Linked DNA regions of Oryzias latipes. The protein of the gene in region 2 interacts with the protein of the main gene of each other region in a biochemical or structural test. Links are inferred from orthologs where the notes say so. Each region holds a gene or a part of one and is shown on either strand. Other genes may lie near its edges. The genes, in order: mapk8ip1 and mitogen-activated protein kinase kinase kinase 11.

Evidence for each region.
Region 1: the proteins of mitogen-activated protein kinase kinase kinase 11 (region 2) and mapk8ip1 form a complex in vitro, tested with the Homo sapiens proteins (2 studies listed by BioGRID). The link is inferred for Oryzias latipes from reciprocal best matches to the Homo sapiens genes MAP3K11 and MAPK8IP1.

The regions. Positions count from the first base shown.
Region 1 is NC_019861.2:7,558,213-7,562,261, forward strand, and holds the end of mapk8ip1 (C-Jun-amino-terminal kinase-interacting protein 1), read right to left. Parts: intron 3,601-4,049; coding exon 3,494-3,600; intron 3,357-3,493; coding exon 3,240-3,356; intron 2,033-3,239; coding exon 1,962-2,032; intron 1,718-1,961; coding exon 1,619-1,717; intron 1,480-1,618; coding exon 1,407-1,479; 3' UTR 564-1,406; downstream 1-563. UniProt on the Homo sapiens protein: The JNK-interacting protein (JIP) group of scaffold proteins selectively mediates JNK signaling by aggregating specific components of the MAPK cascade to form a functional JNK signaling module. Required for JNK activation in response to excitotoxic stress.
Region 2 is NC_019876.2:27,304,093-27,307,917, reverse strand, and holds part of mitogen-activated protein kinase kinase kinase 11, read right to left. Parts: intron 3,205-3,825; coding exon 3,088-3,204; intron 1-3,087. UniProt on the Homo sapiens protein: Activates the JUN N-terminal pathway. Required for serum-stimulated cell proliferation and for mitogen and cytokine activation of MAPK14 (p38), MAPK3 (ERK) and MAPK8 (JNK1) through phosphorylation and activation of MAP2K4/MKK4 and MAP2K7/MKK7.

The DNA.
Region 1 (4,049 bases), on a different chromosome or scaffold from region 2:
CAGCATTAAAAACAGAACTAAGGTCTAAGTGAGAAACCGTTTCTAGGTTTAACCGCTGTCTTCCTGTGTTTGTGGTAAAACCTTAACTTGCTTTTTCAAGCTGCTTGCTTGCAACAGCACACAACTTTCAGAGCGGGAAGTGAGAGTAGAAAGGGTGCCAGACTTTGGTGCTTTTAACATTTTACAAAAATTTTAGATCTTGTTTTTAATACGCTACACATTAGCCACTTTAAAAGCTTTAGCTGTGTTTGTGTTTTTACAAAACCTGCAACTCCCAACCTTGTAAAGAAACCAAATAATACAGCTAAAAGAAACGTTACTGTGATTGCGCTAACTCCAAGCCTTGTTAGTAACACGTGAAATAAAGTCAGACACTGCAATTTATGCGAACTGATAAACCCTTTTTTTCTAAACTTTTTTTAAAACTCTGAAATCCCAATTTTTACTTCTCTTAAAAAATTTCTTTACATGAACAGAAGCTAACATAGAGAAGTTGTGAGCTATTTGATCATAAAAAAGGTTTTTGTGTTCATTTGTAAATGAATCCAGTGATAACAAAAGACTCAGTCTGCATCAAAACCATTTACTCATGACTACTGAAAGGTAAAAGAAAAAACAATCAAAAACAAAAAGGATTTGTACACAACAAATATTGAGTCATTACATTGTAATAAACTTTAAATGCTGAACTATTTACACAAGGCATAGCCCTCCCTGCAGCATATTTCCTCATGCAGGCATCATTGTTTTCTCATTATGAGAATAAAATGGCTTTCTTCAGATGACTTCCTAAAGTTTTGTTATTTTTATATTAAAAGGGACCATAACAAAAAAAAATGTAGATCAGTTTAGAGGCTACAGAAAATACTTGTTAACCAATATAAATCAAAATTAATAAATGCAACCAGTTTTTATTTCAGGGATGTGGGCTATAGTCATGATAAAAACAAAATAAAGTAAGATATAAAAATACATCTATAAATATATTTAAATAATTAAGAAGTTTGGTTTAATAAAGACCATCTCTAGAAACAGAAATTAGTAAAAGTTAAGTATCTTTCAGCGTTGCAGTCATTTTTCACCACTATATCTGACTATAATAGCATTTTTTCATGAAAGAGCCCAAATATTTGTGGAGTAATCTGCCATGAAACTTCTATGTTACTCTCGCCTTACAAGTTGTAGATCAAGCAAAGAGCATGAGCTCCTCTTTTTCCAAAATCAACATATTAAATTCAGGAAATTAACTGGAGAATCAGAAGTTCCTGGCCTGCGCTTGCTTCAGTGATCAGCGGTTCTGCTGCAGGGGATCGGTCGTAAAAAAAAAGTTGAATACACATCATCGTCATCAGTAAGTTGTTTTCTTTTGTTGTTTTGCTATGATACAGCATTGAACACCCTCGCAGTTATTCCAGGTAAATGTCCTCCGTGGGACAAGAGAATTCCACATATTCCTTGTAGTACAACTGAAAGGCTTTCCTGGAAAAAACAAAACAAAAAAAACCAAATCAAATCAAATGATTTAACTTGAAATCACACAATTTACTTTTTAAGAAAAAATTAAGAATTTATTAAGAGCTTTAAATGTGAACATATAGGTGTCAAAAACCGTACTCACCCCACTGAATCCGCCAGAGGTTTGGTGGAGTTTTCAGAAACAAAAACATGGCAGGCAAATCTCTGGTCTGCTGGGTGCTTAGTGATGAAACCAAAATATCTAATAGAGAGAAAGAAAGATAGTAGAATTAGAATAAATTGAATAGACATTAGAACAAGGAAATTGTTGAATTTAGTCAACAGTAATGTGATTTTTTTACTGCATTTTAAATTAAAAGCCAGAAGTCAGTGGTTCAATTGCAGACATGAAACACCCTTTGATTCTACTGACACCTTGTGGGAAGCATATGTCCCTGCACACAAAACAAGAGCAGAGTTGGAAAATATAACAGCTTTTTACTCACTTGCAGTTTTTTGGATGATAACCACAAAAAGAGACGTTCTTTAACTGGAAAAAGTGGCTGCCCTCATTACTCTGTAAACAAGACCCAGGAAGCAGAACAAAAAACAGAGACAAAAGTTAACATTTTAAGAGTTTGATATTTCTGTTGTTATTATCAATGTAAATTTGGAATGAAGTGATAAGTACAAAGATACTTATTAAAACACTTTTATCAATATGAGGACATTGAAGATGAGATTTAAAAAAACGTAAACATCGTCATTCAATCAGCTAAGTCCCATAGTACCAACCTTTTCACGTTTCTGATTGTGTTTCATTTTTCTGACATTTTATTTTGATTACTGGAAATTAAGTATTTATTATTTTCCAAATATAATTCCGAAAAATTATTTACACTTTTTATTTTTCATCATTTCTTTGGAATTGTGTTTTGGTTTCTGTAAATTTGTTTCGAAATATGTAATGTGTTTTTTTTCTTATCATTATTTGTTTTGCTTTTTTATTTGTCGTTGGGATCTTTAATATTTTTTTGCATTGAGAATTTTGTTGGTGTGGCTTGCAATTCAGGGTCACCGTAGTTCTCAATGTTACACTACCCCAAAATATATAAAAGTAAAGCCATTATCCTTTTTAGATACAATTTATTTAAAATGTCTTATTCAAAATAAAAATTCAGTTCATGATACAGTGTTTTAAATAACACTTGAAAAGTTAAAGCGTTTGTAAAAGATAACATTAGTTGTAGTTTTGGTTTGTAGCCACTAGCAAACTGTTTTACAACCTGTTCAACACACACATAAACGCATATACACACACACACACACACCCACACACACATCATATATTATATATTCACACACACACACAGTTTTATATAATCCTTTTATTGGTTGAATGCAAAAACAATTACACCGATTGTTGTATCTTCCGCCATTTTTGGGCACTTAACTCCTACAATTGTTCAGCTATTTTAACCATTCAACTCCTAAAATGTCCAGGAATAACTTTTGGTCCTTCAAGTCCTTGAACTTTTCAAGATATTCCAGGATTTTTGCCTCGATTGAGATACATACATATTTGAAAACCTTTTCTTCTTTTTGTGGTGCAAAATCTCGCCGGTTCGAAATCTGCCGCTCGCATTTTAGTCTTGCGATTTTGCAGTTTACAGTTTTTTCACAAACTGACTTCAACCTTTGATTACTTTTCATCAATCTAGATCTTAAAATCATGTAGCTACTGTATTCCAGTTAGAGAAAAGAAGGAATAGTCAGACTCTTACTCTGTCAGAGGCATAGTAATCTTCTTGAACAGCAAGCTTGATGCCTTTGACACTGATCTCCAGGATGCAGGAGGAAGGGGGGTTGTATTTCACTGTCATCCTTCTGTTGGTGGCGATCTAAAAAATATGAAAGGCGATTTCAAAAAGTGTTAAAACTGTGTATCTGTTTCTCTCAGCAGGTTGAATTGCTCTACATGACATGCAGCAGTTTTTTCAAATTTGAAAGGACACACATGCAAACGCAGCCCATCTACCTTCTGCATAGCTGCACACAGGACATCGTTTCCTTTGTGATAGGGCACTTGAACTGATCCCAGGAACTTCAGGTGATATCTCTCTATCCATTCATCGCTCTTTATCACTGTAGACAAATAATAAGTCAATAACATGACACATAAAAAGGGTTTATTATAAATCAAAAAGGCATTAAAAATTCTTCAAGACAAATGTATTTAACAATTCATCAGCTTCACTCATAGTTTGGGATAAACAAAGAGGCTTGCTGGTTGATTTTGAAAATGATACTTCTGTTTGTTTGTTTTTAATCCATCCCTCTTCTGAACCCACTGAATCCATTTTGGGGTCATGAGACTGCTGGAGCCAACTTGGCTAATGTTTGGCGGGAGTGGGCTCCACTCTGGACAGGTCCCCAGTCTGCTGCAGGGCCACACGCTCACACTTGAGGTTAATTTAGAGATACCAATTAACATATGAAGCATGTTTTTTGGCCTGTGCCAGAGAAAAGCCAGAAGAAAACCTGTGCATGCACAAGGAGCACATGCAAACTCCAGACAGAAAGGCAGGATTCAA
Region 2 (3,825 bases):
ATTTTAGATGTGCTATGTTGATTTCTAAAATAGAGTTATGTCCATTTTTATACAATAATTAAGTATTTCATCTTTGTCATGAGATTTATTGATACTTAAGGATTCTTAGTTCAGTCTGATAAAATGTTAAGAACCGGAATATGATAAATCATGTAATGACAATGGTTACGGTAGAACAGGGGTGGGGTCATATAAGTTCGCTGGTGATGTAGGGCACCGTAGCAATCTTTGATTTAATGTCTTTGTATGAATGTGAAAGTGCTGATTGTATTGTTTTGTGCATTGCTCTTGCTTTGATTGCTTGAAATAAACCATTTCAAATCAAATCAAAACTGTGAAAAAGAAAATGTAGTTAGCGATTAATGAGTAGAAATAGGTAATAATTAGTGTAGGCCAAACTATTGATCATATGTGATCAATTATACATTATTACAAAATAAAAGTCATGACTTTCTTCCAGAATTGTTGCTGTAGCACAAATATGATGAGTTTTCATGACTAGCTCCTATCAATGTAAACATGTATTCATTTTGGTTGTTTGAGACATTATGTATAAATGAATGCACGTTTTTTTTAATCACTTTTTCCCGAGTTTGCACTTTGCAGACAGCAGCTGTCTCACTGTCGTCTCTCTGTTAAATGTTTGTATGATATTAAAAATGTTTTCATTGCCTCTGTAGGTATTAGGGATGTCCCGCTTGGATCAGGTGATCAGAAATTGGACCCAATGCCGTTGTTGGTGGCTCAATGAAAGATGGGGTTGGGACATTTCATTTACTCTTATAATGACCCAGCACTTTATAGATCCATCTTCTTATTCCAGATAAATCCTCTACTAGACGTCTGTAGATCACGACCGGATCAGCAAGTGTCTCTATTGGGTCGTGTTAACGCAAACACAGACATGTTAGGAGAACAAAGATGAGCTTTTTGATTCTTTGTGAGGAGAACGGCTCTCTGGTGCTGCGACAGACGGAGACCCAGTGAGACGCTGCGGTATCTACACCCCTTAAGGCCAGAAGGACCTACTGTGCTAATAAAAGCTATAGCGTGATGTTCCTGCATGCTGATGCCAGGTCTGAAGAGGTTAAAACAAAGAATCCCATATTCTCTAAAAAAACAACCAAAACTAAAAAAGTCTTCCATTGATTTGAGCTACGGGTAGTCATGAAAATTCATCATCGTATTTATTCTAGAACAACGAAAATCCTTGTTCATTTTTAAGATTTTTGATGGAGATATAAATTGCATCTGATCAAAAATGTCCAATAGTTCAGAAGATACGAAGCTTCAGTCAAACTTTCTCACATGACTAATTATTATCACCAGTTTTTACTAGGTGATAGTTAACTACTAGTTGATATAGTTGAACTATTCTTACTTGATTGTTGCGGCTGCTTCAAAGTAGGGCTCTGTTAAAGATTTTAAATGTTAAAAGCAGGTTAATAAAGAAAAATAGGTCAAACCTGCATCTGTTTATTAAATTGATCAAATGTGTTACAAAAGTATCAGGACTCGGTATCCATCCATACTCAAAATCCAATGACTCGGAATCGGATCGGGACATCCCTAGGTAGCATTGAGACAAGCCAGGTTTGGAGGTATTGAGCCCGTAACTCTTTTTTTTAACGTGCCTCCTGCTGTGGCTTCCAGTAATAAAATGTTGCGATCTGTTCGCAGTGTGCAGACTTCTATTCATCTGTAATAACAAGCGTGAAATATGTGGCGCTGATCATAAAATTGAGAATAAAATACCGTTCCAATCCCTGATCGGGATACAACATCCGTTTGGGCCTGATTTTTGATCACATGACCAGATAAGTGTGATAATATCGTTGGGTGACGGCGGTCCACTTGAGGGCACTTGCATCGTTCTGTCGTACCAGACAAAAATGACTGCAGCTCTTTGGTCTGTTTGGGTTTCTGTCCTCTTGGGTTTGGCAGCAGGAAAAACGAACGGGAGCAGGTCTAAATAAAGAGGAACCGACTGAATCTAATCCTGCCCGCGCAGACAGGAAGTTAATAAATAAATAATCGGGAGAAACATCTATATGCTGCCAAACGCATATGACACAGCAGGCCAGCTGGGATTCAAAATGTGCTAACTAATACAACCTCTGGGTCCATTAATTCCATAAAAATAGCATTTTCTTGTTATCTAATTTAGCAGAATGTGGTACAATGGAACTGAGCTCAGCAAACTCCTGCTAATCAAGTTGGCAGTTCCCAAGACAAATATGTTTGGTAAGCCCCGAAGATAAATCACTGCATGCGACTATGAGGGCAAGCATAAATATCCACTAAACACATTTTAATGACAGGCGCACTCGTGGCTTAGTGACTGCCATTAAGGAGAGTCATTAGGAAGTGCGGAAGACTAGCCTGCTACCTCACAAGGCCGGCCGATGTCTGGCATTTACTTCTACAAACTGCACTCTTGTTTTTTTTTTCTGCTCCATTTTGTCAAATCCCTTTTACTGCCTGCGTCTACACGACAAATTTCTTTTGTCCCTTTGTTAGGAGGCACTGTGGAGAATCCCCGCTGCACAGAAGGACCTGGGGACATTTCTGTGAGATCCCGGCAAAAAAGCAGAGGAGATATTGTAAATCTGTGTGACCGCTGCAACCCTTCTTAACCCCATCTCACACAGCAATGAATTCCACCCTGCTTATTTTTAATTCAGTCAACCGCACCGCTGCTGCAGGCTTATGAAACCGTTCGTGCCCGAGTCCCGCGGTCACATGTCTCCCCCTGCTGCTGCAGTCAGGGAACTGCACACAGGAGCAGCAAAGGGGGTCTGAAATGGAAAAAAGGGCTGAGAGGAAGTCAGATAATATTTGGACTGGAACGGACTATTGAAAGGGAAAAGGGTGTGTGAGAGAGGGACAGAGCAGGGAGGGAAGAGACGGGGAGCGTGGGGCCCAGCAGGAAACGATGGGAGACAAAAGACGAGTGGGTGGTTGAGAGAACAGATCAAGAATCGGTCATCCAAGCTCTGCTGCCACAGCTTTCTACACGCATCTCCACCTTCGAATTGAAGCACTCAGTCCTGTAAAGTCAGTCCGCATGATGAGATCCGGACTCACGTTGGATTGCGCGAAAACGTGGGCCGAAGGAAGGCGAGGAGCCCGAACCCAAATCCGGAGAGTTCCTCCTCTTTTCCAGGCCTGGGGAGGCCTGCACTGTGATTTTATGGATGAAATCTGCAAAAAGGATGGAAAGAAAAAGAATACAGTCATTCTACTGTCACGTTTCTTCTTCTACAATGCAGAGCAGTGGTCCACAACCGTATTCAGGCCGTGGGCCGGTTTCATGTCAGACAACATTTTCCTGGACTGGCCAGTTCCAGGCGTCTGATTTTGTCTTCTAGCTTTTGAGGTTAAAGTTTACCTTCATTCTCTGTCAAATATCTTTAAACTTTATTTGTACTATAGATTTTGTGTAGGAGCCATTTGAACGTGACCCATAAAAAGTGGAAGATAAAAACAACTTTATTAGCAGCATCCATAATGGTTTATGGGAACAAATGTCCCAATAATTCCATGGTCTCAGTAAAGTCTCAGTAAAGATTTCTTTTATTTTGAAGTCAAAGGGTCTTCTTCTGTTTCCTTTTCTGCTAAAAGAAACTTTGCTGAAACATTTGTTTGTTAACTTTGCTAACTTCTTTAAGAGCGTAGCGGTTGGATTTTTGACTTGTGGCCGAGCGACTTGACGTGGACGTGGTGGAGAGAAACCGGTAGTTTTTCAAAACAAGGCGTCCTTCAGAATCAGATTTTCAAATAAAGAGTTTCTGAGGCAGGTTCTGCTTTTAGTTCTGACTTCCA